Linked DNA regions of Pelodiscus sinensis. The protein of the gene in region 3 interacts with the protein of the main gene of each other region in a pairwise test. Links are inferred from orthologs where the notes say so. Each region holds a gene or a part of one and is shown on either strand. Other genes may lie near its edges. The genes, in order: NIBAN1, ITGA7, FHL2 and NRF1.

Region 1 (8,210 bases), on a different chromosome or scaffold from region 3:
GAAGCCCGGGATTTGAATTTCCCGGGCTTCATTAGCATAAAGCCGGCGCCGCCATTTTTAAAAGCCGGCTAGTGCGAACCCCGTGCCGCGCGGCTACACGCGGCACGGGCTAGATAGTTCGGACTAGCAAGCTGATAGTTCGGAATAGCTTGCTAGTCCGAACTATCTAGCCCGTGCCGCGTGTAGCCGCGCGGCACGGGGTTCGCACTAGCCGGCTTTTAAAAATGGCGGTGCCGGCTTTATGCTAATGAAGCCCGAGAAATTCAAATCCCGGGCTTCATTAGCAAGTTCGGTATGCATACATTACCCCCCTAGTTCGAACTAGGGGGGTAGTGTAGACATACCCTAAGTTATTCCTCCTGGGCTCTAAATGGAGATAGCATGTCTACATTAGGGAAGTATGCCTCAGACTAATTTTGCGGCTTCCCTGAAGTGTAGATGTACTATTTCAAAATAAGCTATTTTGGAATAACTATTCCAGAATAGCTTATTCTGAAAGAAATGTGCAGTGTAGACATAGCCTATGTGTGCAGAAGGAGGGATCCTGCCGGGGGGAGTCCATGATTCCACCAGGTGACTGTAATTTGTGTTAATGGCTTTTTTCCTCTGTGAATTAATGATGTAAACCTTCACTTTAACAGAATACCAATAACAAAATAGTCAAAAGTGGTAGAGAGAAGTGAGATCGATGAAGATTCTGCTTTCCTAGCCTTTGTCTCTATTTGTTTCAATGTTGGTTCCTTTTTTTTCTTTTTCTCTTTTAAGCATGGTTCTAGTTGCATTGTATATATGCTAAATGACAACTCTCCGACAGCTCTGAGTTCTCTGTACTAAGTGAAGGCCTCACACCATAATGTACCCAGGAATTTAAGGACATCATTAAATCTTCCCCCAAAAAACTCCAAGAGAAACACTACACCCTCATTCCCCTGAATCCACCAGGAGACTTTCTACATGCTTCCCAAGATATACACAAACAGGCAAGCCCATCATATTTGACCATGACACTCTTACTAAAGGAACAAGAAGATACAAAAAATCACCCTGAAATCACTCAACACGAAGGCCTAGCTTCGGCCAGGAGAAGGGTTGGTTTCCTCCAGAAACTCTGCAACATTAACAACCTCCAGAGTAAATATGTGGGGGGACATGAAGGGTCATTCATTATCCCCAATTCCATGGGTGAGCCCAACTGCTGCCAGAGCTCGGCTCCCTATAGGCCCCCACATTGCTCCGGAAAAGGGATTTGTGGGAAAGATGGAGGGGGAGTGGGAAGGGGCAAGAAGAAGGAGGGCCTGTGTTGGGGTGGTGCAGGGAGGAGTCACTTGGGGGGTGGTAATGTGACTAGTGCCCCCCTTTGGTCCCTCACCAGAAGCCACCACTGACAGTCTCCTTTGGAACATCATCCTTGCCACAATGGATGTCACCTTCCTTATACCCCAACATCCCTCACCATGATATACACCCCAAACACATCACCAGCTCATCCATTTCACCCTTATACATAACAATTTTACATTCAATAGCAAACGCTGTGCAAACCACAGGAACAGCTGTGGGTACTGGGATGGCTCTTCAGTATGCCAATCTCTTCATGGGCCACCATGAGGAATTATTTCTGGACAATTGTACCACAAAACTAATGGGCATGCCTGAGACAGAGCAATGGTATTTTCATCTTTTGAACAGGCAACCTGAACTCCTTCACAGATTTCTGCCAAAATGTCAGCTACTCCTACCTATCTATGAAATTCTTTCTAGAATTTTCTGACACTATGATCAGCTTCAACAATGGAATCCTAGAGACAGCTATGTACACAAGAAACTCACTCCTACCTTCACAGATCCAGTACCTACTAGAGCTGTCAAGTGACCTGCGTTAACGCCTGCAATTAACGCAGGACAGGATTAACGTGTTAACTTTAAAAACTCGTTAATCACAGGCGTTAATGTTGCGCTGCCTCTTTTAAGTACTGCTCCAACACTTCAAAGGGCAGTGCAAGCAGAGCTGGGTATCAGCTGGGGACTCTTCAAAGCAGAGCTGGGTATCAGCTGGAGCAGCACTTCAAAGGGACTTTGCAACAGTGGAGCCGGGGATCAGCTGGAGTCCCCAGCTGATCCCAGGCTCCTAACGTGCTGCCCCTTGGAAATGCCGCCGCGGCACTTCCAAGTGGCAGTGCTGCATAGAGTCCGGGATCAGCCGGGGACTTCAGCTGATACTGGGCTCCATAGATCGCTGCCCCATTGAAACGCCACGGCAGCATTTCAAAGAGGAGGCACACGATTAATCACGCGATTAATTGCAATTAAATTTTGTAATTGCTTGACAGCCCTAGTAACTACCATAAAGGTACCAAGAAATCTGTTTTCTATAGCCATAGAATAAGTTTCAATGAGAAAGTTCAGGATACATACCTTAACACACTGAACACCACCTTCATCAACCAAGGACCCTGCACCCAAATGTACTCAGAAAACCTGGTTCAACATAGAAATAAAAATGTGTTGGAATGCACAATCCTAATTGTCACCTACTTCCACATGGTGGAACCTTTATGGGGTATCATTAAATAATTACAATGCATACTCAATGGGGACTTCATCCTGAAAGAAAACTTTCCTGATCTCTTCTTCTGGCCTTCAAACAACTCTTGAAACTCATCATCAAAAGCAAACTCCCCACAGACCAAAGCAAAGCAGCATCCCACAACAAGAGATGTAACAAATTGCTCTACCTGATATTTATGCAGATTATGCAAGGAGTGAGAGCTATCTCAGACTTTTGAATTCATTGTCCCCTGGACTGAAGTAGTCCAAATTTGTTGCCATTTAGGACATATTACATAGTGAATCTTCAGAAAAGCATTTTCACACTGGACTAATCTAAATTAATTAAGATTAACCCCTTCCAAAAGCACTTGGATGGAAGGTACTATTTTCTGAGCAATAAAGATAGAACAGGCATTTATCTTAGAATAAAATAATTCATGCAAATTGCATGGTTTATCTCTTTCGTTTCAGATGTGTCTATGGGCTTTGGAGATAAATTTGACATTACAGGACATGCAACACTATATTAAGGCCACATTCTGCACTGATGCTACCTGAAACACCTTAAAGTTGCAAGACAATGCATATTGTAACTCTTTTGTTTATTTTCTAATCAGACACCTCAGTGGATGTGAAATGATCACATTACTGCAACTACCACATTGCTACAATTTAAAACCTTGTGAATAGAGCTTAACAAATAAAGATGTTAAAGGCCACTAATTATATTATGCCTCTAGAGAGCTGTCGATTTGAGTCTCAGTTAAGATATCCAAATACTTATGAGAGCCAGTCTTTATTAAGGCACTACATGCATCCAGTCTCCTTGCTAGAACAGTTAAACAATTGCCCAATTTCTATATATAACTGGCATACACCAATGAGGGACAGCTTAATACTGTGAATTAATATAGATTGACTGCATTAGGTAAGTTTTATTTGTATGCTTGCCAAAGGTTGTTTAGCACAATGCTGATTATTGCATAAAAATGTTGTATCTTTTTAGCTGTTTCAAATGGCATCATGCTGATTATTGATTTAAAAACTTTTCTTCTTGGATGTGAAATTTCTTAACTTGCTGTTGACTGATGAAGTAGCAAAATATTAAATGATTGAGGTATCAAATGCATTAATACAATCAGTGAAGGGAATACAAGCAGGATTAATGTGTTCAAACAAATTTGGAGCAAGTGATCAATGTAAAATGGTTGAAACAAATGTATTCACATGCCCAAAATACACAGTTTTCTGTTACCGGAAATGTGTAATACATAAGTAGCTTCTGTTCAATGCAGCTCAATTTCATAATAAAATTTATACTCTATACACAGTATTAAGTTGTTTTTAAATTCTAACAATCTATAGTGGCATGCTGCTGATCCCATTCAATTAACTTTCATTGTTAAAAAAACCCCAAAGAAAATGGGGGGAAACATTAGAAAACCACAAACAGTTGAGCAAAGTTGCATTAAAATAATTTTTAGATAGAAGCATGGAAATTCTTTGAATGAAGTTTGCTGTTGCACCAGTTTTGCATTTCTTTGACTTCTGTTGCAAACACATGATCCTTTATCTATAGCAGTAGTTTTCAGCTTTTTCATTTGAAAATGGCTACAAATGTCAAGTGGAGGTTCGGGCCCCTTTGGAAATCTTACACATAGTCTGAGGGTCACAGGGGTCTGTAGACCACAGTTGAAAACCACACATTGAAACGTATTTGTTTAGTCCTATCCCTTGAAGATATAATAGTTTTTGTGGTGACAACAATGACCTTACTTTTGTAGTATACAGTGTTGTATCTATATTTGTCCCAGGATATTCAACAGACAAGGTAGGTGAGGTAATATCCTTTACTTGACCAACTTCTAGATATTACCTCACTGCCTTGTTTCTTGCTTTTGTAACACTATCCTAACAGGGATACAGTCACAATTCAAGCCACTTGGCTTAAATTGTGCTGTGCAAATCCCAGTGAGGATTGTGCATTTAATTGCCGCGGATAGGATTGCTGAAAGAGGGGTTTCCCATTTAGGGCTTTGAAACTAAGGATCAAGTTCTTAACCTTAGTGCAATATTGGTACTGATGTCGGATAATTAAACACTTGGATTCCATAACATGCCACCACACTGGCAGGGGGAGGACCTGCCCTTGAAGTAAGGTCATGGTGCGTTTCCCTCGCTCTCTCTCTCTCTCTCTGGAACCTGCAGGTGTATGTATGTGTGGGGCGGGGGGGGGGGGTTTACCCTGAGATACCGCCTGGCTGGGGGAACAAGTTGTATCCGAATGACCCTGAATCATCAGGCAGCAGCTTGGCTTGGCGCAAGCGGGACTCGCCCAGTGACACCTTGGTGCGCTCCCTTGTGTGGCAGCAGGTGTGTCCGTGTCTGGGGAGGGGCGCACAACTGCGTGTGCTCGCGGGGGGCTACCAGCGGGCTAACCCACCCCTGCTAACCCACCCGCAGGGGACAGTGGCGCTGAGCGGTGACAGCCCCAGGCGGGGAAGCAGTGGAGCCTGAAGGGGCAGCAAGAAACGCCAGGGAAAGGGAGGAGCCGGCCGAGGGGACCGAGGGCGCAGCCCCGGGGGCGAGCAGCGCTCCCCGCCCAGCCCGCTGGAGCTGAGGCGGCGCCTGTTGGAGGAAGTTTACGCGCCGAGCAGAGACAACCCCTCCCTGCGGCGAAGCGGGCAGCCTGGCTGAACTGATCAGCTCCTCCCGGCCGGCCGCCTTCTCTGCAGCGCCATGGGCGCCTCCGCCTCCAGCCTGCTGGACGAGAGCAAATGCAGCTACATCCGAGGTACGCGCGGGGCGGCTGCTGCGCTCGCCGGGAGCCAGGGGCGGGCAGCGGCCACCACCACGTTTGCATGTGGCGGGGGGAGGCACCGGCTGCTTGGGGGGAAGGATGCGGCGCAAACCGCGAAGGCAGCGGGCAGACTGGACGGCTGCGGTGGGCAGGAGACAGTGAGGCTCTCGGGTGACGAGCCCAGGCGAGCTCTGCTGTGCCAGGGGCTCGGGCCGCCACGCGTGCCGAGAGCAGATGGAGGCTTTTCAGTTTTAGGGGTAACCCAAGAAAGCCAGGCCCCTCTGCCACGTACATTGGCCATACTGGCCTGCGTCGAGGCAGAAGAGTACATGGAAGCACATCTGACAAATGGCAGCTTCCACAAACCGGCGGGGAAGCGCTTCAGCCGCCCCGGGCACACGGTGCCAGACGGGAGTGTTGCTACACTTGAGCCAAACGCCCTCAAAACTAGACTGCAGCGTGAAACTGCAGGGTTGAAAGTCAGATGCAAACTTGGCTGGGTCTGACTGGAGACGAAGAATGGCTGGCTTGCTATAAAAAGTAATTTCTGCCTTTTAGTATTTCCGCCTTTTTATCCACTGTTGAGTGGGCCACAGCCACCCTGATTGAGTTGGCTTCCTTGGCACTGGCCCTCTCCAGAGTAATGTAACACTCCCCTTGCTGTATATCCCCGCCAAACTGAAGTTTCCACTTCACACACCTGACAGAGGGGACTCCGGCTGGTGAAAGCTTATCACTAAATACATTTGTTAGTCCTTAAGATGCCACAGGACTCCTCGTTTTTTCTTGAAACAGACTAACAGGGCTACCCCGCTGAAACTTGTCGCCAAAAAAATAGGCAGTTGAGACTGGATGATTATCAATCATACTTTGAAAGTATGTGGACAATACTATTTTGCCATTGCTGAAAATGCCTTCCATACTACTTGGGGGCCCATTAAAGTTGTGGGACTTTGGCAAAGCATTTAGGAAGGGGGCTAAAATAGCCCCTTGCAAAGTCCTTTGAAGTAAAAAAACATTTCCTCTAGGTTTTGGATTAGATAACAAATCCTTTTAGGATTATCTACCAGTAAGGGGTTTTGTCATTGTATGCCTTGTAATGTGGGATGCCTTACTGACACCAGTAGCTAGCCTACAAGCATAAGAGGCTCAACTCTGCCTTCCACCAACCTGGTTACTCCTTGCAGGATGACTTCAGCAATCCCTTTGGGTATTGAGTTCCTACAGATCAGTTTCCCTGAGTTCTTAATGCCCAGACATTCAGACATTCCCACTTAGGCATTTGAAGGAATTAAACATTTCCCCACCTGTCAGTTAACTTTAGCAAGCACTCTTCTCATCATTTGCACAATAGAGGTCAGTGTGGGGGTAAAAATACATAAAAGGTGTGTTTATTAGAGAAATCATAGAATCAAACAGTAAAGAAAAGCAAACACTGACAAGTTACACAGAAAATAAACATAAAGGCTTTACTCTTCTATGGTATCTAAATTTCCCTTTCGCCTTTCAGAGTATGGTAGCTCATGTTAAACAGAACAAGTGTCCTGAGTTTTCAATTTCAATGTCTTTCCATTAACTTTAGTGGTCTATCATTGTCTTCCCTTGTGTTGTTCCGTAGTAAGTTGTTGGAATTTAGTGTCATGGAAGCAGCTAGTCTGTGAGATGCTTCTGGCCCTGACTCCTTCTCCACACTAGAGTGATGCAGTTGTACCTGAGTTACGAGGAGTGTTCAACACATAGGGCTAGTTTACACTAGAAGCACTACATTGGAACTCTGTGCTGACAGGAGAGATCTCTCCCATCAGCATATTAAAGAGGCACTAGCTATGTTGGTGGGAGAAGGTCTCCTACTGACATAGCATTTGTTCACACCTGTGGTTAGGTTGGTGTAAATTGTGTTGCTGAGAGGTGTGCCTTATTCACACCCCTGAATAATATATGTTCTACTGAAGTAAGTGGCAGCATAGACCTGGCCATATATGCAAGCATATATTCATAGCCGTAATCTGTGTACGTCTCTCCTAATGGCCATCAAGTTCAGAACATTACAAGCTTTTATTGTAAAAGACCTTACTTGATGCATATTTATACACAACAATGTTGTATACAACTCAGTGACCTATTTCCCTGTGCAGAATATAGCACCCTATTCAAGAGAGTTCAAAGGCAATCAATCAGAACTATGCAGTACAAACCTTCAAATTAACATTAAGTTGACTGAGCCCACTAAAAAGAAATACAGCATAGTTGGATTCTTTTTATCTTCTTATTTTTAAGGCTTCAGGGTTTGCCTGGAAAGGGTTGCCACACACCCTATATACGTGGAAAGAGGTCACACACTCTCCCCTACACAGCTCTTACATCGGGGTGAGGGGAGGCGGAGCGACTGACTGACCTGATCCTCCGTGCCTGGTGCTCTCAAACGTCCATGCCTGGCTGGGCCCCAGGGACAAACTAGCCTCTCTTGGCTCCTGACTCCACAGTTTCCTGAAGCAATGTGTGTGTGGGACCACAAAGGGTCACATGCCCACTGATTTCACACCAGAATGTGGCCAGAAGCAGCCTTCTCGCACCGTGCAGGAGGGAAAGGAAAGGAGCTGCTTTCAGCTGCAGGGGAAGAGGAGGGAGAGAACGATGGATGAGGAGGGAGACAAGAATGGCCTGGCCCGTGTCTTTGCGGTGCTCATCTCTTCTCTCCCTTCACCTCCAACATTGGAAGAAGCTTGTCCCTTCCTACCCACACAGTGTCAAAAAGCAGCTAACACCTCCTGGTTGCTGCTGGCCACCTACATAACCCAGCTGCCTCCTGTCCCCTGGTGACAGCCTGGGCAGGAAGGGGTTAAGCCCTAAGAATGCCTTT
Region 2 (7,736 bases), on a different chromosome or scaffold from region 3:
TGGGCCCTCCCCTTCTCCCAGCTAGCACCCGAAAAGACCCTGCCTGGTGTCGCTGCGCAGCTCTCTCTCGCAGGAGGGTCGGAGGTGGTAGCCGGGCTGGCATGTGAATGCTCAGCAGGGGGAGTCTGAGTCCGCCCCTCCCTGAGATGACAGGGGCCGTGCACACTCCTGTGAGCTATGGGGCCAGGCTCTTTGCAGACACAGGCAGGGGCAGCTGTCTGGCTCATGCCCAGGGCACATCGTGAGGGTTCCTTGGCCGCTGTAACTGCAGCTAGATGTGAAAGTGGAGACTGGAGGCGAGCCGGCTGCTGCAAGGAGGTGCCAGGCGGGTATATGGGCATGGACCAGCTGGTTCTGGGCCATGTCATGTTACCATCTGGCCTCCTCCTCTACACTCCCGCTTCTTCCCTTTTCTCTGCCATCTGGTGAAGGATGCTCCCTGGGGGGGCTGAAGGACTTCGCCCTGGCCAGAGTTAATGGAGAAGGGTTGGTTCTGCTGCTTTCAGGAACTGGAAGGCTGCTTGGGAGCGGTTCCCTCTCTGGGTGGGTCCATCTGTAGAGGCCAAGGCCCATAACCCCCTGTTCTCAGCTCTGCTCCCAGCCCTCTGGCTCCAGCAATTTTCCCCACCCACAGAGATTCCTCTTGCTCTGGCCTCGCTTTTTTGCCAGCTCCACCCACGGCCCCCAAAGCCCTCAGGGGACTTTTCTGGCTCTGAAACTGAGGCCGGGGCTTCGTGCTGCCCTAGAGGCCCAGCAGTAGCTCTGGGAGCCAGAGCCAGCCAGCTCATCTCTCCTCCCCGTCACGTGGTCTCTTGGCTTGGCTGAGCTGGAAGGGGCTCTCAGAAGCTGGTGGGAACTGAGGTTTCAAATCCAACTGAGTCTTTTCAAGACGGGATGTTCCCCTTACACTCACCCTCCCAAGCTGCTGCTCCCCCCCTCCTCATTTTTCACACTCTGATCTTGGTCAGCGAGAGAGGCGGTGTTGGGTGAGTTGCAGGAGGTGCGCCCTTGAACACTGAATGTGGAGTTGGCACCTGTGTGAAAACAGAACACACACTCCCAGTCACTGCTAAGGTGATCACAAAAACAAGCAAAGTGATTCCAGAGAATACACACACACACACACACACACACACACACACACACTTCTAGTGCTCTCTCAGCTGCAGACCACCCGCCATTTACATAACACCGTCCACTAACTAAGCAAACGCCATGCAAAGCCAGCGGCTGAGGCTCAGCTGGCCATGCCCTTGCACAGAGCAACTGGCATGTGGCTGCTCTGTCCCAGGGATGCAGTTTAGGACAGGAAGTGAAGCGGGATCTCGGATTCAGGTGGAGAGGCTGACGGATGCTGCGAGGTGTTCTCCCAGCAGGCTGGGCCTTCTACCCTACAGCCCAGAGGTTTGGCTGGGGGTGAGTAACAAACTGCCCAGGGATGGGGCGGCTCTGCCAGGCTTGTGCCTTTGCAGCCAGGCTGGGTGCCTTTTTGGGAGACGTTTGACCTGACAGGGGTTGCTGGGCACAGGAAGTGGGGGGTCACTCTCTGGATTGTGACTCAGGAGGACAGGCTACATGATCTGTGAAGGGGCTGTTGGCTGGCCAACGCTGTGACAGAAATCCAGGTGTTGATCTCCTTGGGTGCCGCCCACCACGGTCAGAATTGTTCTCAAGGCCCCAGCTCCAAGAGTCCTGCGATGACCTAAAACCTCCAGCCTTCACTGCAAAAGCAAAGGCAGGTTCTAGCCTCTGTGGGTGCAGAGAGAAGTGACACCGCTGGCCCGAGAGAGATCCAAAAGCAGCGCCCCCGATCGTTGTTTTTCAACATTTTAAGCCAGCCTCCTGATCTTGGGACCCTTGCGGACTTCGGAAACCTGGGCTGGGCAGGGGTGAACGTAGCCGGCCCAGGGCAGTTCTACCAACCGCTGCGCGTCCCTGCAGAAGAGCCACGGAAGCAAGAGAGGCCAAGAGCAGCTTGCTTCACTCACCCGGCTCTGGGCCCCACTGAGGCTCCAGTAGACAGATTGCCGAGTGGCCCCCTCTCCACTGAGGACATCCCAAGGCTCAGTTTCATTTACACCAGCTGTTCCTCTCCTGTCCCAAGCCCCATTGCTTCCGAGACTCTCTGTACCCACCTTGCCTGCATGACAGCAGCCTCCTCCCACCGGGCCAGGTGGAAAGATGCTGCTGAAAGAGCGGGGTGGGAAGGGGTGGGGGATTTCTGGGGTCTGATCTCAGCTCTTAGGTCTGGCACAGAATGTTTGGGGTGGCAGGGCCGATGTGCAGGGGGACAGAGGCGAAAGCCCTAGGCGCCCTTGGGACAGTGGATGGAACTGGGTCCATTCCCAGGTGGCCCTTCAGAGAAGGAATCATCCATTCCCAGTGCCAGCCAGGCTATCCAAGGGGAAAGCACTGGGGAGGGAAAAGCTCCGAGGGCCTGTTTGCCATCAGGCAGATGGTCCCACAACCCGGCTCTGCAAGGGGCAGGGTCACCCCATCTGTCCCCCACTGCCTTGGGGGCAGAATGCAGGAAAACCAAAGTGAACCGACCAGGGGCAGGAAGGTCGAGAGTCACCTGACTGTTGCGCGGCTGCATCCGGCATCCGGGCTGCAGCCCGTTCACGTGGATGCAGCAGCCCTGCCAACTCGCAAATCTCTTGTGAAGCCCTTGGTGAGCGGGAGCGGTTTAAAAATAGCTGGTGTGCTGGAAAATGTGACGCCCCCACGCTCCCGTTTGGGGCCAGGCCCGCGATCCACAGGCGGCCGTTCACTCTCATTTGCAGCCATCCTGCCCCAACAGCAGCACCGCGTGCCATTCCTCCCTGGGCCGGGAAACCTAGCAGGGGCTCACTCTGGCCCACTTTTGCAAGCTCCCTGCAGCCCAAGCTATGCAGCAGAGCATGGGCCAGCGTGCTGGCAAGCTGGCTGCTAAGGACTGCTAGTTTCCAGTTCCCTTTTCCCAGCCTTTCCCCGCAGGGGGCGCTGGAGGGCGAGGGGCAGGAGCACTGGCTGAGGTTACATGTCCCAGCCTCTTCCAGTAGGGGGCGCTGGAGGGCGAGGGGCAGGAGCACTGGCTGAGGTTACACCTCGCAGCCTCTTCCAGCAGGGGGCGCTGGAGGGCGAAGGGCAGGAGCGCAGGCTGAGGTTACAAGTCCCAGCCTTTCCCCGCAGGGGGCGCTGGAGGGCGAGGGGCAGGAGCGCAGGCTGAGGTTACACGTCCCAACCTCTTCCAGCAGGGGGCGCTGGAGGGCGAGGGGGCAGGAGCACTGGCTGAGGTTACACCTCGCAGCCTCTTCCAGCAGGGGGCGCTGGAGGGCGAGGGGGCAGGAGCACTGGCTGAGGTTACACGTCCCAGCCTCTTCCAGCAGGGGGCGCTGGAGGGCGAGGGACAGGAGCACTGGCTGAGGTTACACGTCCCAGCCTCTTCCAGCAGGGGGCGCTGGAGGGCGAGGGGGCAGGAGCACTGGCTGAGGTTACACCTCGCAGCCTCTTCCAGCAGGGGGCGCTGGAGGGCGAGGGGGCAGGAGCGCTGGCTAAGGTGACAATAGCCCAGCTCCAGCCACTCTCGGTAGGGGGCGCTCTAGGAGTTGAGGGAGGCCGGGGGCGGTAGCCCCAGCAGGAGGCGCTGTGGGGAATAATGCAGGGAGCTGGTTGCGGGGAGTTCCCATCCATGGGCCGCCAGAGGAGAGAGGGTCTCTTACAGCTGCAGTGGCGGGTATATCGCATGTCACCCCAGCGCACCCCCAAAAGTGCCTGGCGCTGGGGTGACATATGTTGTTTAACTGGGAGCAGCAGCCCGGCACCGAAGGATGCTCGTTCGAGCACGGGAGCGAGGGGCTCAGGAGGCTGCCTCGGGTCTCCCCCGAGCGGAAAAAGTTCCTGGGTGAATCCAGTGTCCTGAGCTCCCGCCTGGCCAGGGCGTGAGGCACCGTGGGACTCTGCCCTCGTGCAGCCCGGTGTCCTGGCCGGCTTCCACCGGAGACCTGGCGCCTCTTTCGCAGCCTGCCCGGCCGCCCCGCCCCAGCAGGCAGCTGCCGACTCCCCCCAGAGGTGGCTGCATTTCAGCGCCGGCCAGAGGCTGCTTCCCCCTGCAAAGCACGTGCACGGGAGGGGGCGGCGCCCTAGGCAGTGGCCGGGTCCGGGGGCCGCTGCCAGAACAACCAGTTTCTCACGCTCCCCGTGCCGGGTTCGGGGCCAGCACCTGCCCTGCTCCGTGCGGCCGGCGGGGAAGGGGCGTGTCCGGCGGCCGGGCCCGGTCCCCTGTTAGCGCGCGGAAGAGCGGAGCTGTGGAGGCTGTTCTGCCGGCAGGATGCGGGGAGCGCTGGGCGCCGGGCTCTGCTGCCTCGGCCTGCAGCTCCTGACGGGCGCCGCCTTCAACCTGGACGGGACCCACACGCTGCTCAAGGACGGGCCCGGGGGCAGCTTGTTCGGCTTCTCTGTGGCGCTGCACCGGCAGCTCCGGCCCGAGCCCGCCAGCTGGTGAGCGCCGAGCCGGGGACCCCGCTCCCCCAGCCTTCCCGTGGGGCGGGGGACGAAGAGCCGGGAGGTCCCGTGGGGAGGGGGGGTGTCAAGTCTCGGGGTCCGCAGCGGCGCGGGAGGCGGGTTCTGCACCCTTCGCCGGGCCGGGAGGGGAGGGGAGAGGAGAATCTGTAAAACAACCCCCCCCCCCCCGTTACTCCGAGCAAGTTTCAGGGGGTGGGTAGCAGCTCGGCCCCCCCCCCCCTCCCTTGGCTCTAAATAACTGCGCAGGGTAGCAGGGTGGGGGGTATTCTCCTCTCGCCGATCCCCGCGGTGTGTGTGTGTGGGGGGGGGGGCAGGGTCACATCTGTTACCCCTTCCGCCTGCCTCGCCCTGCGCCCCTCGCCCCGCTGGGAACTTCCCCGACCCGCCGAGGCGAGGCAGGTTCCTTCTCGCCTGACCCCTGGATTCTCTCGGGTCTCCTGTGCGGGTCCAGATGCAGCTTCCAGTGGGGAGCGCTGACCGCCCCCCCCCAACATCTGTCCAGAGACAGTGCGGAGGTCTCCCCTCTCCCATGGAATCTGCCCCAGGGCGGATCCGAGTCTAAGAGCCAAGCACTTGTGAACAGCCACAGCCCGGACTCCTGGGTTCTTTTCCTGAGTCCCTGGGTGGCTTCGGGATGTACCTGTCAGCTCCGGAGCTTTTCCCTGGGCACGATTTTGGCACCGATTTGCGACTTCTCTGGGACCCTAAAAGCAGCAGCTCTGTCCCCTCGGGGGAGGGGCACATTTGAAGGCAGCTCTGAGTTGTACAGGGACACCGGGGGCCTGATCTGCCCCCAGCTGCACTCCAGGCTCCTGACAGAGCCATATCCTCTGTCCCCCACCCTACGGGTGCCCCAGCGGCCAGAGGGGGGTGCTGTCTGGAGCAGCCAAGGCTCCTCACCGATGGGAGCAGATGCCCAGCTCTCTGTGGCTTGGGCTGGGGAGCTTGTCTCACAGCAGCTCCTTCCTCTTCCCCCTTCGCTGGGGGGCGGGTGTGCAGACCTGCTGGTGGGAGAACGTGTGTGAGTGGGGGGGGGGGGGAAGAGTGCTGAGCTGTATAATAATCCCCCACCCCTGCCTCTCAGCAGAGCTCCCCGCACAAGACAGTGTCACTGTCCCCATAGTGCAGGCAGGGAAACTGAGGCATGAGGTGGGGCAGGGACTTGCCTAAGGTCGCTCTGTGGCAGAGCCGGTCCCAGTGCTGTGCTCCTGCCATGAGGCCCCTGCTGCCTTCATGTACGTGTAGTGAGGTCGGCAGTCGTGTGCCAGGGCGGGTGATGCCACATGTGGCCAGGGTGTCACTGAGGGTTCGGTGGATGGTGGCTTTTTCAGCACTTTGTGATCCTCAGCTCAGCAGTCCCACTCTGGCTGTGTCTGCCCGGCACGGCTGGGCTCTCTTTGGGGGCAGGGATGGGGCTCCCTGGGGCAAGGGATGCTGGCAGCTCCCAGCTGGCCCAGTGTGAGCCCTGCTGCTGGCTGGGCTGAGCTAGGGCTGCAAAGGGTTAAATAAAGCTCTGATGAATATTAATGAGGCTGTGGGCGCAGCTCAGAATCATTAATGAGCCATTTAGGTGAGGGGCCCAGACACTAGAAGCCATCAGGGCTCAAATCCCTGCATCCCCTCCTTGCCTCCTCCAGTGGTAAATTATTCAGCAGGGACGGGAGCTGAGCCAGGAGAGGAAATCGATAGTGCGGACCCCAGGCTGGCTGGAGCCATGGGGGTGAGAGGCTGAGATCCCCCACGGCCTGCCCCAGCAGCAGCAGTATCAGTCCCATGCCTGCTCCGTGGGAGGTGGGCATATGGTGCTTCTCTGGGCGTGTGTGGCCTGGGACGGCACTACCTCTGGGCTGGGGTGCATTTAGTGCCTAGAGCAACAGCGCAAGGTGGGGGGGAAAAATGCAGATGAGGCTTGTGATCTTATCATGCTCCCCCCCAGGACTCTTCAGTGCCCCCCAACGAGGGAGGGGGTGAACTGGGGGCTCCTCGCAGCTGCTTGAGGCCAGGCGAGTCATGGCTGGCATTGCTGGTGCCCCCTGCTGAAGGTAACGCAGGGCTGGCGTGGGCGCAGCTGCAGCCCGGGAAATGTGCTCTCCCTTGGCACGCCCCCGGTGTGATCTTTGCTGGCTCCCGCCTTCTGGCCTGTCACAGTTGCTGCCAACGCTCACTTGGATTCTGGGTTGGCGGCTGGCTTCTCACAGCAGAGCCGACCCCAGCAGCTGGAACTCCGGGGGCAGCAGCTGCTGGGTCCCTGGCAGCGGGAGCCCCTCCTGGTACCCTGGTAGTGCCCAGCTGCTGGGAGCATCCTCTGAGAGCGCCCTCACTGGGTCCCTGTGCTGAGAGCCATCTGTCCCTGGGGGGGTCTGCTGCAGAGGTTGCTGCCCGGAGAAGATAAAAAAACTGTCTTGTAAAACAGAATCCCTTTGGCTTCAGCTAGAGCAAAGCCCGGTCTGGCTCAGTCCGTCTGGGTTGTGAACAGGTGCTGGGGGAGCGCTGATCTCACGCCCTGCCTGGCGCTGGACGGGTTCCCATATGCGACTGTCTGTTTCTTGCGGGGGAGCTTTGGTCACGTTCCTTGTTCTCCATGGCGAAGCCTGTCAGACGTTCCCGGAATTCCTCCCTGCGGGGGGATTTGCTCTGGCAGCTCGGAGCCACCCTGGCGTTCGCGCTGACGCACCACGGACAAAGCGCTGGGCCAGTGCAAACAGTGGCAGGGCTTTCGCACGCTTGTGGAGGCGGCTGGGGGCAGGGAAGGCGGCTGGGAGACGGAGCCATCCTGCCCTTGGCACGGGGGCCTTTCTGGGGTCCATCTGGCATGTTTCTCAGTCCTTTGGAACCATCAGCATTGGTTCTGTGCCTGGCGGCTTACGCAGCACAAAGGGAGTGTGGACGGTCGAGCGCTGGTCTGGGACCATCATGCAAACACGGGGGTGGCGTATATGGCTGCAGTGCTCAGGGGACCCCCTCCCCCACAGAGATCGGGGCCTCCCTCGTGCCAGATCCTGCCCCAGCTGAGTCCAAGACCTTCTGCGCTCTGAGGTGCTCACAAGCTAACTAGAGAAGACAGCCCAAAGGCAGGAGGGGAAACGGTCACGCCGAGGTGCTGGGGCTTGCCCAAGGTCAGCCAGCTGGTCAGTGGCAGAACTGGGAATAGAAAGGTTCTGCCCAGTTCTGGGCCCCAGTCTTGCTGCCGAAGGGTGTTAGCCATGTGTGGCTAGCAGCCCCGGGGAGAAGCA
Region 3 (7,860 bases):
AAGTATACATCTTTTTTCTCTGGCCTATGAAGAACAGGTTGCCTGAGAACGTTTTTATTCCTTTGGAGCTTTATTTATGATTTGGAAAATTGCAGAAATGAGTTTTTATGGTGGGATGGGCTTATTTATTATGAATGTTTTTGATGAGACCAATATTAACTGTTGCAAATAACATCAGTATTATTTTTAATTTGTATTATGGTAACACATGGAGGCTTCATTGTGTTAGGCACTGAATGCACACAAAAAAGACAGTTCCTGGCCCAAAGAGCTTATACGCTATCCATGTTACCAGACAGGAAAAAGGAGTATTAGATGAAGAATAAAGCAATCTGGTTACGTCTAGAGTGCAGCACTTTTCCGGGATACCAGAGGTATCCCAGAAAAACAATACTGTGTCCACGGAATGCATCCGCTTTTCTGAATTTTTTTTTTCAAAAAAGCGGATGCTCTCTTTCGCCATCCCTGTAAACCTCATTCTATGAGGCATAAGGAATGTGTTGAAAGATCAGGTCCTTCCGAAATTTGGTGCCATATAGATTTGCCAAATTTTGGAAAAGCCTCTTTTGAAAGAAAATCAGGAAAAAATACACAATTTTCAGTACACAAATTGCATATCTTTTTCCGATTTAACTCTGCAGTCTAAATGTAAGCGGGGGAATGATCCCGCTATTGTGGGGAACTTTCCTGGCTTCTATACACCCCGGTGAAATGAACCAGCAAAAGGATCTGAGTCCCCGCTCCCACTTCCTTTACCCCATGGCTCCCTGATCCTGAGGGCTCCCCCTCCACTCTCCTGAGTAGCAGAGCCCTTGAAACCCCAACAAGGCTGGGCCCAGGTTTCCTGGGGCTTAATCCCTGACCTTGTAGTCACTAGGGGCAGGAGTTAGGGTGTCCCCACTCCGAGGTGCTCTCTTTACACTGCAGGCCTTCTTGGCCCAGTGATCACTTCATAAGGTTCAAAGCAAATACAATTTATTAAACAACAACTGGTTAAAGAGAAAAGAATAAGAAAAAAATGAGAATGGTTAAATGAGAACACACAGCCCTGCTCTGTAGCACAGGGACATCAAAACAGCAGCCTGCAGAGTGTAAGGACAGTCCACAGTCTCTTCCTTAGAGGCCTTGGATGTGCTGCGGGGGGGGAGGGGCTGCAGGCTGGACACGCTTGCTCTGGCAGTGACCACACAGCCTCAAGCTCTAAGTGGCCAGACCCCTCTCCCAGTCCAGAGCCTCTCCCCACACTTTGCAGTTCCCAGCTGCTCACCACATCCAGCTGCAGGCTGTGCTGTGTGGCCAGTCTCTAGCTTCTTGCATTGCTTCTCTGTTCCTTTTGGCTCTCTGAGCACTGCCAGTCTGCTGCTCAACACAGGGTCTGCGCTCTTTGAGCTGTGTGTGTCTGGCTCAGCTGCTGCAAAAACTGCCCCTCAGCACACAGCTTGCACTGCTTGGGCTGTCTCTCAGCTCTCTGTTCCTTTTGCAGGACTTCTTCTGCACACAGCTTGCTTTGCTTGGGCTGTCTCTCAGCTCCCTGTTTTTGCAGGACTTCTTCACACAGCTTGTACTCCTATTTCAGCTCTCTGTCTTTGTAGGACCTCTTCTGCACACAGCTTATTTGTTCAGAGAGAGAGCCAGAACAATCCCAGCTCACAGGGAGGACGGGGCCTGGCCTCTCCCCTTCCTCACTGGCCTATCCAACCTGTCAATCAGGCTGAGCTGGAGTGTTGGCTGCTTTCCATTGTCTCTGGGGTCTGTCAGCCTCCTGAACCCTTCCCCCTCTGAAAGTGGGAGCTGGCAAACCAAAAAACTCCCACAGAGTTTTAGTAAGGGGTAACAGTCCCCTTACATAAACATAGCCTCTGATTAGTTTACTAATACCTGCACAAGGAAATTAGTTCCAAATAACCACATTGGTCGAGGGTGTGAAAAAATCTGTGCTGCTGAGTGATGAAGTTAAACGGTCCTAATCCTTGGTCTAGCTAATGTCTCTTGGGGAAAATCCCTTCCCACTGCAGTGTTTTAAGTGTAGACAAGCTGTAAGTATCAATATCATTCACGCATTCTCTAGGCCCCGTCCCAGCTTAATGCCAGTGAACAGGACAGGTACCTGTTGAGTTGTGTGAATCTTTCATAAATCTAAAACAAAATGATGTATTTTTCCATTCTCACATCTCATTGGATAGTCCTTGTTATGATGATATGTGATCATGCTTATGGCATAAGCATTATCAATATGGGAAAAGTTAGAAAAGTGTTATTCCTACAGTACAAAACTTGGGTCATCTGATTAAATTAATAGGCAGCAGGTTTAATACAAACAAGAGAATGTACTTTTTCACTCAATGCACAATTAAATCCTTCTCACAGGATGCTGTGATCGGCCAGAAGTGTAAATGGGTTCAAAAAGAGAATCTAATATGTCCTGGAGGATAAGTTACTCAAGACAATTGCTATTGGTCAAGATGGTCAGGAATGCAAACCCGAACTTGGGATGGCCCTAAATCTCTGAGGGTACATATACACAGCAGGGCAAAACTTGAATTAAGCAATGCAATTTCATCTATATCAATTACATAGCTGAAGTTAAAATAGCTTAATTCAAATTTTGGCACTTTCTACACAGAGGAAGTTGAAAGAAGAACACTATTCCTCTGACTTCTCTTATTTCTCATGAAATGAGGGTTACAGGAGTCGGAGTAAGAAGTCCTCCAGCTCACCATTATTTCAAAATAATGGCTTGCAGTGTAAATGCACACTATGTTATTTTGGAATAATGTCTGTTATTCCGAAATAATGGTTCTACATAGACACACCCTGAAGGTCAGAATATAATAATGGGTCACTCCAACTTCCCTGTTCTCTACATCCTCCCCAAAGCTCTGGGACCAGCCATGGTCAGAGACAGGATACTGAGCTAGGTGGACTATTGGTCTGACCCACTATTGTCTGACCCTTGTGACCTTACTTTTTGTTTCTTTCTCCTGGGAGAAGAGACTGTGAGTGTGTCCAGAGTATTATAGAATAGAGATGGAATCCATTCAACTCCCCAAATCTAAACATTCCTGAACTTTTGGGAAGTTTTGGTCTTGATCCCAACTTCATGAGTGAGTCCTGTCTGAACCAAAACTTTAGCTCTGAACTTATGAGTCCCAAACATTGGGAGATTTTGCAATTATCTTCCTTCTCTTTAAAGCAAGGGACTGTGGGCTTGAGAACCTCAGTTGAATACTGCTACAGATAAGAAAGATGGACACTTTTGTTATTAGGACCCAAGCCATTTAAATCTTCATTTGGGAAACCAACTGGAAAACAGCACAGAATATGGTGCACAGGTGTAATGCAGTCCACATGAGAAACTACTTCATAGGCAGGCAGTTACATTCGGCAGTAATTTTGAATGGTTTTAAGGTGTAGTTGCAAGCATGGGGGGTTGGTGCTGCTGGGGCTGAGGGAGGCAAGCCTGCAGCCCCTCCTACAACCCCACCCCCTCTGCTGTGGAGCAGCATGCTGAAAGCACCCCCTCCCCCAGGAAAGGAAAGAGGGAGAAGGGGGCATGTGCACACGCCCAAGCCTCCCCAGCCCCTGGAACACTGGGGGAGGGAGGAGGCCATGTGGTGTGGTTCCTGCCACCCTGGTCCCCAGAATACCAGGGTAGGGAGGAGGACACATGGCAAGGTGTCTGGAGCACCGGGGGAGAGAGGAGGTCACATGGTGCAGGGCTTTGATTTGCTTTGGGAGTCTCCTTGGCCCTCCAGTGACAACACAACTCTTCCCTCTCTTAGTGTACCTTAACTTCTTTGCTCTCATAGTATTGGAGTGTCCTTCTCTTATAGCTTAATATATTAATTAGCCAAGGTCACTAACATATGTCAGTTGAATTACTATGGTTATCTGTGGTTAGGCATCTGCTAATATGTCCTCCAAAAATGTTCTAAAGATGATAGGTACAAACTTCTTGCAACATTTGTGATTGTTAGAAGACTATACACAGAGTCTTATGCCATCTTGTGACTTAAGATCATTGTTAGTTTTCTAACTTATAATAGCTTACTATTGATCAATTATCCTTAGGCAGGCTGAAAGGACTCACGCTAACTGCTTAAGTTATCCTTATCGATCTAGGCCTACAAGTCTTGCACCTGTGCTGTCAATTCCTTACCTCTCTATCTTATGATTACTGCTATAATTACTGTACAGCTACTGGAGAATAACTGAATCCCCAGGTTGCAGCCTGCTCAGCATTCCCAGAACTATAGACAGTTGTGCTGGCTGCACCCCACACGTAAAAGCTAGTTTCAAATCTGAATGAGATAATCCAAAAAATGGCTTGAAAACTCTTCAGCGCAAGAAATGCTCAACTCTGTCAGTGGATGAAATGGCTCACTTAACCAGGTTGTTCACCAAGCAAGACCATTCTGCTGAATCAAACTTTGCCGGCATTAGGAAGAAAATTTCCCATGGGCAAATTATTTAATTACTGTCCATTATGAGGATGCTTGCACCTTCCTGTGAGGCATCTGATACTAGACTCTGTCAAAGACAGAGTGCAGGAGTACAAAGACCAGCTGCTCTGATGCAGCATAGTTATTGCTGTGTTCCTAATTTCCCTTCACATGAGGATTTAATTAAATAATAAAAAGTGTTGAAATTACTTGCCATTAAATTAAGTAAATGTGTGGTACAATGCAATAACACTAAACGGGATATATATCATCTTGTTTCTTTCAATGGAGTTAAAGGTAACCTTACTATATTTTAGAAATGTGCGTCTGTCGGTCTGTCCGTCCATTTGTGAGTTCATTTGTTCAAGAACAATGGGACGCGTCTGGAATTTGATTATTTCTCATAAAATGGTAAGTGAGAAGTCTGATAGAAGGGACAGTTATACTGTAGAATGACCACAGGGGGGCAGCAAGGAGCCAGAAATGGGGACTGGGGTAGCTATAACCCCACTGGGCCAGCAAGGGGTAGGAGTGGAGAAAGGGATAGCCAACTACTATATATTTCAGAGAGTTTGTCTGTTTATGTGTCTGTCTGTGTGTTTGTCCCCCAGCTGGAGGACATGCACCACTCCCCAAGCTGTGCCAACTGCAACTGCAGCAGCCATGATCAGACACTTTTCACCTGGCCTCAAGCTACTACTTTGAGAAAGGGCTGGGGTTGTCCTCTCTCCCCAGGGCAGCCTGAATACTGAACCTCTTATCCTCAGCCCCACCCCAGAACAATGATTAAAATTAAGAAAAACAAAACTTACTTGAGTTAAGGACCAGAGCAATGCCAGGTAAATCTTCTAGTAAGTCATAAATCTGAACCTGCTTGTTTTCTTCTTCATGACAGATCAAGAGTCTAGACACCAAAATGACTGAACGCTTTGACTGTCACTACTGCAAGGAGTCCTTGTTTGGCAAGAAGTACATCCTGCGAGAAGAGAGTCCCTACTGCGTGAAGTGTTATGAAAGTCTTTACTCCAACACCTGTGAGGAATGCAAAAAACCAATTGGCTGTGATTGCAAGGTACTTTGGACTTGCATTTCATTGACATCACATCTGTCAAAACAGATAGGATAGGTCCATTCCCCACACGGGATCACTACAACACTACAGGAGAAAAGGGATCTGGGTGGAAGAGATCTGTTTCATAACATCTTATCATAGAATCATAGAATCATAGAATAATAGGACTGGAAGGGACCTCGAGAGGTCATCGAGTCCAGCCCCCCGCCCTCAAGGCAGGATCAAGCTCCGTCTACACCATCCCTGACAGATGTCTATCTAACCTGTTCTTAAATATCTCCAGAGAGGGAGATTCCACCACCTCCCTTGGCAATTTATTCCAATTTATTAATTAGGTAATTAAGAACCTGACCTTCCACTGTGCTAAGCACCTCCTTGGAGAACCATGGGAACTGAAGATGCTCAACATTTTCCAGGAAGTGCTTTGATCCAGATTCCCAAGAATATTCATTAATTTTGAGTGCCTCACTTGATCATGGTTTGCCTCATTTTTCCAAGGTGCTGTGTAATCACAGTTCCTATTGACTTAGTGGTTTAGATGCTCAACACTAATGAACACAAGCTTTCTATGGTTCTAATGTTGGGCACCCAAAGAGTGAAATACCAAAAATTATAGGGTCGCTTTTGAGAACTTGGGAGTTAACCTCTCTGCCTCAGTCTCTCCTGGGGTTAAAAGAGGCATACTAATAATTACCTGTTTTACACAGCTAGTGTTCGGATGATTTGAATGCAAGTGAAGTGCTTCAGCTGAAAACTGGAGAGTACTTTTTACCATCTAGAAGAAACTTAAAATATCAGCCTTGTATTTGATAGGCTAAAAAATGTTAATGAGTTTCTTTCTGAATGATACATATTGATATTTTAACTGTTCATTTAACAGTAAAAATATTACTCAAGTAACACTAGGCAGAAGCTATGAAAGAGACAACATGCATGTCCCATACACTCTTGCAGCAGAAAATGTCCATAGAACTAACTTAACTGGCTACCCAGGAATTCCCCTGTAGCAGGGTGGACTCACGATTGACAGATCTCTTTGCAACTGAGTGTGATGTAGCAGCTGTTTCCTCCCCAGTCCCCTCTTGCAACAGTCACTATGATGCTGTGGCAGTCTGCCTTGTCTGGTGACTCAGCACTCCAGCCAGGTCTCATTTTAGTCCTAGCCCCTTCTGAGGTACCAAAAGTTCAATAAATAATTCCAAGGCCAAGTCTCTGGGCCCTGACCCTGGGCCTGATGCTCCTTACATCTTTCAAATCGGGATTGTGAATCATCCCTATTCTCTTCTGTCAGGGGAGCTTTACATCACTTTTCCAAGGCCAGTAGGAGAACCCAAGATCAGCCTCTGCCTGGCTTCCAGTCCAGGGATCCTAGAATCAACAACTAAGGTCTGCTTTGCCAGACATCTCATCACAGCCTCCTGCAATTCCATTCTACTATTAGCCTTTCCTCAGGCCTTTCCCTCTGCCATTTCCCAGGCCCTTTCCCTCTGCCATTTCCCAGGCCCTTCAGTTCCTGCCCTTGTGCTGGGGTCTTACCCTAGTACTGTGCCTTCACATCATCTTCCCGGCCTGGACTTCCTGCTTCCACAAGTCTCTCTACGCTATAGTGATAGCAAAGCTCTGTCTTATCTCTCTCTCTCTGCAGTTCCAGACTTCCAGCACTCCATTGCTTCTTCCCAATTTTATCTTTTATTATGCCTTACCTGCCCTCCAGGTACAGCCAGAGGAGTTAACTGACCTCTCAGACACACGCTAATGCTTTCACCACATGTGTGGGATACAGACTCCCATCACATCAGGCCTCTATGTGCGTGGGGGGAGTGTGCCAAAGGTGTGAAGGAAGAATGAGGGGCTCTGTTGGGACAGTGGGTCCAGAGCTCAAGCTCAGCCACCCTCCTTCCCCCCATAGCAGGGATACTGCGCTGGTACTCCAGCCTCGCCCTCCCTCCCCCAACCCCACACTAGATTGGAGCACCAGTGTCAGCTTCCCATGGGGGGGGGGGAAGGGGAGGAGGGAAGAAAGCCCTGAGCTTCGCTGCATGATCCAGCTCATGGGGAAGAAGCACTTCTGCTCCCCCTCACCTCGGTGGGGGAACAGCAGTGAGTGGGCGTGCTGCTTGGAGGGTTTTACCACTGCTCCCATTGGCTAGAATCTGACCAATGGGAGCAGCAGGAGGCAGTGCCTGGGAGCGGCACGGAGCATGAAGGCAAGTAATTGCCCCCCACCCCCTCATGCCCAGACTCTCACACCCCAACCTCCTAATGCATTGAGACAATTGGGCCAAGGGCCAAAAAGTGTGAGAAACAATGTGTTAGGGGGATGGGAGAGTGCTGTGTTGTGGGGGG
Region 4 (7,514 bases), about 230 Mb from region 3:
ATGAAGTCTTTTGAGCCTAATACTCTTGTCTTGTAACTAAAGACCTAAATCCACCTTTGAATACATTATACAAGAAAATTCTGGTTGAATGATCAACAAAACATTTAGACCGTATTTTGTCTCACAAATCATACAGAATAGCTTTGAAACAAGCTGTTTGCACAAAATATGCATACGCATCCTCTTTACAAAAAGAAAACCTGAGTACCTTGAACCACCTTTCTAATTTCCAAAGGTGGGACTAGACCTATCCGCAACACAACCCATTCAGAGGAGCAAAAAGATAGCCATGGAGGGAGGGATCTGCAAAAGGTAAACACACCCTGATGTGTAAGGGCCACTGTATTACGCTCTTCCTGAGTGCAACAGGGATCTTGCCTCCTGTCACACACCCACACTGGCAGCTCATGCAATACATGCTTTTGTTTTTGGCTGCCTCTGATGCCACCCATCCTCTCTCCATTCCTTGGAAAGGGAAGGAGTGAGAGCCCAGACCTGTCCCCATGATTCACTTCTAAAGAACGGCAGAATTTGTTCAAGATAGGGGGAAAAGGGAAGATACTTTCAGATGTCATCTGAAATGAACAGCAGTGGTTAGCGGGCAGGGATACAAATCCCGCCTTTGCCCTCTAATGCCAGCAACCAAGCTCACTTCTGAAAAGAGAGAATAAGTCCCTTCAGGTGCACTCTTTCCCACTTCCCCTACATTAAGAGTGGTGATCTGGGAAAACACGCTTCCCCCTGGAGAGCAGAGATGAGACATCTTCCAGCCCTCTCCCTGGACTGGCAGGGGGGTGGTCATTTTCCAACCCTTTTTCCTTTCCCCAACCCTGAACTGGGGGGCCAGGCGAGAATCCTGCTCCCCAGAGGAGTAGCGGAGCAGCCCTCTTCCCCATCCCCGGACAGGAGAGAAGGGATCAGGCAAGGCATCTGCTCCCCAGAGAGGTGACAGAACAGCCCCTTTCCCCATCTCTGGATGGAAGGGGGAGTCAGGTGAGGAATCTGTTTCCCGGAGGGAAGGCTGAGCAGCCCCTTTCGCTATGGGTAGAAAGGGAGGAGTGTCAGGCAGGGATCCTGCTCCCTCTGGGGTGTCAGATCAGCCCCTTTCCCCCCCTGGATAGAAGCGGGGAATCTAGGGCTGAGGGGTGTCAGCCAGGGATCCTGCTCCCCTCTGGGGTGACAGATCAGCCCCTTTCCCCCTGGATAGAAGGGGAGAATCTAGGGGTGAGGGGTGTCAGCCAGGGATCCTGCTCCCCTCTGGGGTGACAGATCAGCCCCTTTCCCCCACCTGGATAGAAGGGGGCAGTCAAGGGGTGAGGGGCCAGCCAGGGATCCTGCTCCCCTCTGGGGTGACAGATCAGCCCCTTTCCCTCCCTTGGATAGAAGGGGGCAGTCAAGGGGTGAGGGGTGTCAGCCAGGGATCCTGCTCCCCTCTGGGGTGACAGATCAGCCCTGGATAGAAGGGGGGGTCTAGGGGTGAGGGGCCAGGCAGGGATCCTGCTCCCCTCTGGGGTGACAGATCAGCCCTGGATAGAGGGGGGGGGGGTCTAGGGGTGAGGGGCCAGGCAGGGATCCCGCTCCCCTCTGGGGTGACAGATCAGCCCTGGATAGAGGGGGGGGGTCTAGGGGTGAGGGGCCAGGCAGGGATCCCGCTCCCCTCTGGGGTGACAGATCAGCCCTGGATAGAAGGGGGGGTCTAGGGGTGAGGGGCCAGGCAGGGATCCCGCTCCCCTCTGGGGTGACAGATCAGCCCTGGATAGAGGGGGGGGTCTAGGGGTGAGGGGCCAGGCAGGGATCCCGCTCCCCAATGTGGAGAGCGAGCAGCCCCCCCCCCCCCGTTAGAAGGGGCCGCAGGGAGGGGCCCTGCTCCCAAGGGGGGCGGCCTGGCGAGAAGGGGGGGCCAGGCAGGGATCCTGCTCCCCTTTGGGGTGACAGATCAGCCCTGGATAGAAGGGGGGGTCTAGGGGTGAGGGGCCAGGCAGGGATCCCGCTCCCCTTTGGGGTGACAGATCAGCCCTGGATAGAAGGGGGGGTCTAGGGGTGAGGGGCCAGGCAGGGATCCTGCTCCCCTTTGGGGTGACAGATCAGCCCTGGATAGAAGGGGGGGGTCTAGGGGTGAGGGGCCAGGCAGGGATCCTGCTCCCCTTTGGGGTGACAGATCAGCCCTGGATAGAAGGGGGGGTCTAGGGGTGAGGGGCCAGGCAGGGATCCCGCTCCCCTCTGGGGTGACAGATCAGCCCTGGATAGAAGGGGGGGTCTAGGGGTGAGGGGCCAGGCAGGGATCCCGCTCCCCTCTGGGGTGACAGATCAGCCCTGGATAGAGGGGGGGGTCTAGGGGTGAGGGGCCAGGCAGGGATCCCGCTCCCCTCTGGGGTGACAGATCAGCCCTGGATAGAGGGGGGGGGTCTAGGGGTGAGGGGTCAGGCAGGGATCCCGCTCCCCTCTGGGGTGACAGATCAGCCCTGGATAGAGGGGGGGGTCTAGGGGTGAGGGGCCAGGCAGGGATCCCGCTCCCCTCTGGGGTGACAGATCAGCCCTGGATAGAAGGGGGGGGGGCTAGGGGTGAGGGGCCAGGCAGGGATCCCGCTCCCCTCTGGGGTGACAGATCAGCCCTGGATAGAAGGGGGGGGGGCTAGGGGTGAGGGGTCAGGCAGGGATCCTGCTCCCCTCTGGGGTGACAGATCAGCCCTGGATAGAGGGGGGGGGTCTAGGGGTGAGGGGCCAGGCAGGGATCCCGCTCCCCTCTGGGGTGACAGATCAGCCCTGGATAGAGGGGGGGGGTCTAGGGGTGAGGGGCCAGGCAGGGATCCCGCTCCCCAATGTGGAGAGCGAGCAGCCCCCCCCCCCCGTTAGAAGGGGCCGCAGGGAGGGGCCCTGCTCCCAAGGGGGGCGGCCTGGCGAGAAGGGGGGGCCAGGCGGGGATCCTGGGCCGGGGCCGCCCCGGAGAGCGAGCGACCCCCCTCCCCTCGCCCCCCCGCCGCACCCCGCTCGGGGGCAGGATCCCGCCCCCGCCGCCCCTCAGCCCACCCCGGCCCGGGCCTAGCGCGGCCTGCGCGGCCCCGAGCTGGGAGTTGGGCCGGGCCGGGGGAGGCCGGGCCGGCGGCGCGGGCTCCGGAGCGGGGTGCCTGGGCAGCCGGCGGGGGCCCCGCGTTGCTGCGGCTGCGCCGGGGCTGGAGGAGCTGGGAGATTGCGCGGTAGGACACTCACCTCAGAGCGGCTGCGCTGCAGCGGGCCTGCGCCGTGGAGCCTCTGCCAGGCGGCGGCCGGGGAGGGAGCCGAGCGGGGACACGGCGCGGCTCGCCCTGAGCCGCCGCAATGGCGAGCGAGCGAGAGGCGGGCACCAGCAGCAGCAGGAGGCCGAGGAGAGGGCGCGTGACGTCACGGGCTGGCGCCGCCGCCATGATGAGGAGGGCACCGCGCCGCATCGGGAGGGGGGGGGCGCCGCCCCGCGCCATGTTGGGGAGGTCGGACGGGGGGAGCCTGCCGCGAAAGGGGCGATTCGGGGGGCGCCGGGCGCCATGTTGGGAAGGTCGGAGGGGCTGATAAAAGGGGAGGGGGGAGGTCGCCATCTTGGGCAGGTCAAGCCCCCGCGTTGATAAGGGGAGCTCGGTCCTGTGGGAGTCACACAGAACCGCGGAAGTCAGTAGAGAGCGCGCTTCGGCTCCAGCCTCACGGGGAGACGGGGCAGGGCCCGTGGGGTGCTGTGAGGGGGGGGCAGGGCCCGTGGGGTGCTGTGAGGGGGGGGTAGGGCCCGTGGGGTGCTGTGAGGGGGGGGGCAGAGCCCGTGGGGTGCTGTGAGGAGGGGCAGGGCCCGTGGGGTGCTGTGACGGGGGGGGCAGGGCCCGTGGGGTGCTGTGAGGGGCAAGGCCCGTGGGGTGTTGAGGGGGGGCAGGGCGCGTGGGGTGCTGTGACCGGGGGGGGGCAGGGCCCGTGGGGTGCTGTGACCAGGGGGGGGGGCAGGGCGCGTGGGGTGCTGTGACCGGGGGGGGGCAGGGCCCGTGGGGTGCTGTGACCAGGGGGGGGGGCAGGGCGCGTGGGGTGCTGTGACCGGGGGGGGGCAGGGCCCGTGGGGTGCTGTGACCAGGGGGGGGGCAGGGCCCGTGGGGTGCTGTGGGGGGGGGCAGGGCACGTGGGGTGCTGTGACGGGGGAGGGGGCACGGCCCATGGGGTACTGTGAGGGGAGGGCAGAGCCCATGGCGTGTTGGGGTGGACGGGAGCTATGCAGTATTTCACAGAATCATAGAACACTAGGATTGGAAGGGACCTCGAGAGGTCATCGAGTCCAGTCCCCTGCCCTCATGGCCCGACCAAATACTGTCTAGACCATCCCTGATAGACATTTATCTAACCTGCTCTTAAATATCTCCAGAGATGGGGATTCCACAACCTCCCTGGGCAATTTATTCCAGTGTTTGACCACCCTGACAGTTAGGAACCTTTTCCAGATGTCCAACCTAAACCTCCCTTGCTGCAGTTTAAGCCCATTGCTTCTTGTTCTATCCTCAGAGGCCAAGATGAACAAGTTTTCTCCCTCCTCCTTGTGACACCCTTTTAGATACCTGAAAACTGCTATCATGTCCCCTCCCAGTCTTCTCTTTTCTAAACTAAACAAACCCAATTCTTTCAGCCTTCCTTCACAGCTCATGTTCTCTAGATCTTTCATCATTCTTGTTGCTCTTCTCTGGACTCTCTCCAATTTCTCCACATCTTTCTTGAAATGCGGTGCCCAGAACTGGACAAAATACTCCAACTGAGGCCTAACCAGCGCAAAGTAGAGCGGAAGAATGACTTCTCGTGTCTTGCTCACAACACACCTGTTAATGCATCCCAGAATCATGTTTGCTTTTTTTGCAACAGTTTTGCAACTGTTGACTCATATTTAACTTGTGGTCCACTATGACCCCTAGATACCTTTCTGCAGTACTCCTTCCTAGACAGTCGCTTCCCATTCTGTATGTGTGAAACTGATTGTTCCTTCCTAAGTGGAGCACTTTGCATTTGTCTTTATTAAACTTCATCCTGTTTACCTCAGACCATTTCTCCAATTTGTCCAGATCATTTTGAATTATGACCCTATCCTCCAAAGCAGTCGCAACCCCTCCCAGCTTTGTATCATCTGCAAACTTAAGCGTACTTTCTATGCCAATATCTAAATCGTTAATGAAGATATTGAACAGTGCTGGTCCCAAAATAGACCCCTGCAGAACCCCACTTGCCAGCTGTCTACACTGGCCGCTTGCTTTTCCGGAAAAGCAATGACGATCTACTGTAAAATTGTCAGTGTTTTTCCGGAAAGACTATGCTGCTTCCGTTCGGGAAAAAGTCCTTTTCAAGAAAAACTATTCCGGAAAAGGGCCAGTGTAGACAGCACAGTAGTCTTTTCCGCAAAAAAGCCCCAATCGCGAAAATGACAATGGGGGCTTTTTTCCAGAAAAGCGCGTCTACATTGGCCACAGACGCTTTTCCGGAAAAAGTGCTTTTCCGGAAAAGCATCCTGCCAATGTAGACGCACTTTTTCCGGAAATACTTATAACGGAAAACTGTTCCGTTTTAAGCATTTCCGGAAAAGGGTGCCAGTGTAGACGTAGCCTCTGAGTATGGTTATCCAGCCAGTTATGTACCCCCACTTATAGTAGCCCCATCTAAGTTGTATTTGCCTTGTTTATTGATAAAAATATCATGCGACACCGTATCAAATGCCTTACTAAAGTCTCGGTATACCACATCCACCGCTTCTCCCTTATCCTCAAGACTTGTTATCCTATCAAAGAAAGCTATCAGATTGGTTTGACATGATTTGTTCTTTACAAATCCATGCTGGGTGTTCCCTATCACCTTACCACCTTCCAAGTGTTTGCAGATGATTTCCTTCATTACTTGCTCCATTATCTTCCCTGGCACAGAAATTAAACTAACTGGTCTGTAGTTTCCTGGGTTGTTCTTGTTTCCCTTTTTATAGATGGGCACTATATTTGCCCTTTTCCAGTCTTCTGAACTCTCTCCTGTATGGTTTCTCTGAGGCAGGGGCATGGGCCAGTGGGTGCTAGGGTGGGACAGGCAAGGCCCAGCAGGGAAGAAGATGGGCCAATGGGTGCTATGGTGGGAAGGATGGAACCAAAGGATCTTGAAATGAGAAAACTACCATCAGGCACATGAAAGCTAGGGATGTGAAAGTGATACCCGCAAGCTCCTGGTATATGCAGGGAGCAGGCTTAAAAGCCAGCTCATCCCGCAGCACATCAGCAGTAGTCGCCCCAGGAATTGAAATTGGGGGGGGGGGGTGTTCAAATTTACAAGGGGGGTGTCAGAGCTGATGAGGGGTGACACCGTGAGGGTGAAGGTGAGATGTATGGCATCATAGTTCACAAAACTGGGGGGGTGTTGGGGAAATTCAGGAGCGGTATACACCCCCATGGGGGAGGGAGTGTAAGGAAATTTCTGGCATGCACTGGAGGGAAGGGAGGGAAGGAGGTAGAGCCACTATGCACAGGGTACCAACTTAAAAGTCAGCTCCATGCACACACCAGCTTGTATGTAACCACTGACATTTTCAGCAGTTACATGATTACTTAAACACATTTTAACATCCCTAATATAAGCACATTATGAAAGCTAAGGCCTTACCGGGAGGATGGGGCCATTGAATGCCATGTTGGAAAGGGCTATGCCATGCTAGCAAGGAATGAAGCTGATGCAAGTTCTCAGTCCTTATCTCCAAGGCACTGCATGCCCTGTGTGCAGGAAATCAAAAATACTACCTAATGCTCTGGAGAAGGCTGTGATAGACATTTGTGCTCCTTTGGGTACACTGAAACTTTCAACAATAAGGGTAAGCTCACCTGTGCAGGAAAAAACTTTCTGAGGAGCCAGTCTGAGACTGTGGAATAAACTCCGTAAATATCTATGGAGTATCACAAACCTCACTAACTGCCTCCCTGAGGCCAACAGGCATTTCTTTGACCTTGCTTTTTCTAACAAATACATATCAATGTGTAGATCTGATTTTTTTTTTAAATCCTACATTTAGAACTTTACCAAAACAATTCACTCCAGTGTAAATGCTTCTTCCCCTAAAGGAGTAAATACTTACCTATATTTTAGCATATGAATTTAAGAATGGCCATACTGAGACCAATGCTCCATCTAGCCCAGAATCATGTCTTCCAATAGTGGCTAGTGCTAGATACTTCAAAGGAAAGGAGCAGAACAGGCCAAGCATCAAGTGAGCCATCCCCTGTTGTCCTGTCTCAGTGTCAGAGGTTCAAGGACACCCAGAGCATTGATTTGCATCCCTGATCATTTTGGGTAATAGTCACTGATGGACCTATCTTCCATGAATTTATCTATTTTTTTAAAAATCCATTTATAGTGCTTGCCTTCACAACCTTCCTTGGCAATGAGTTCCACAAGCTGTCTGTGACTTGTGTGAAAAAGTACTTTCTTTTGTTTGTTTTAAACCTGCTGCCTATTTATTTAATCAGAAAATTATCCATAGTGACTTCAAGATCTTCTGT

What was found.
Region 1: the proteins of FHL2 (region 3) and NIBAN1 interact in binary tests that used the Homo sapiens proteins (3 or more experiments, as listed by UniProt). The two-hybrid records come from large-scale screens. The link is inferred for Pelodiscus sinensis from reciprocal best matches to the Homo sapiens genes FHL2 and NIBAN1.
Region 2: the proteins of FHL2 (region 3) and ITGA7 interact in a two-hybrid assay, tested with the Homo sapiens proteins (2 studies listed by BioGRID and IntAct). The link is inferred for Pelodiscus sinensis from reciprocal best matches to the Homo sapiens genes FHL2 and ITGA7.
Region 4: the proteins of FHL2 (region 3) and NRF1 interact in binary tests that used the Homo sapiens proteins (3 or more experiments, as listed by UniProt). The two-hybrid records come from large-scale screens. The link is inferred for Pelodiscus sinensis from reciprocal best matches to the Homo sapiens genes FHL2 and NRF1.

What each region holds. Positions count from the first base shown.
Region 1 is NC_134719.1:55,875,655-55,883,864, forward strand, and holds the start of NIBAN1 (protein Niban 1), read left to right. Parts: upstream 1-5,047; 5' UTR 5,048-5,289; coding exon 5,290-5,344; intron 5,345-8,210. UniProt on the Homo sapiens protein: Regulates phosphorylation of a number of proteins involved in translation regulation including EIF2A, EIF4EBP1 and RPS6KB1. May be involved in the endoplasmic reticulum stress response.
Region 2 is NC_134729.1:4,582,817-4,590,552, forward strand, and holds the start of ITGA7 (integrin alpha-7), read left to right. Parts: upstream 1-4,268; 5' UTR 4,269-4,309; coding exon 4,310-4,479; intron 4,480-7,736. UniProt on the Homo sapiens protein: Integrin alpha-7/beta-1 is the primary laminin receptor on skeletal myoblasts and adult myofibers.
Region 3 is NC_134711.1:233,436,202-233,444,061, reverse strand, and holds the start of FHL2 (four and a half LIM domains protein 2), read left to right. Parts: upstream 1-4,745; 5' UTR 4,746-4,814; coding exon 4,815-4,853; intron 4,854-5,337; coding exon 5,338-5,514; intron 5,515-7,860. UniProt on the Homo sapiens protein: May function as a molecular transmitter linking various signaling pathways to transcriptional regulation. Negatively regulates the transcriptional repressor E4F1 and may function in cell growth.
Region 4 is NC_134711.1:4,287,166-4,294,679, forward strand, and holds the start of NRF1 (nuclear respiratory factor 1), read right to left. Parts: upstream 3,366-7,514; 5' UTR 3,208-3,365; intron 1-3,207. UniProt on the Homo sapiens protein: Transcription factor that activates the expression of the EIF2S1 (EIF2-alpha) gene. Links the transcriptional modulation of key metabolic genes to cellular growth and development.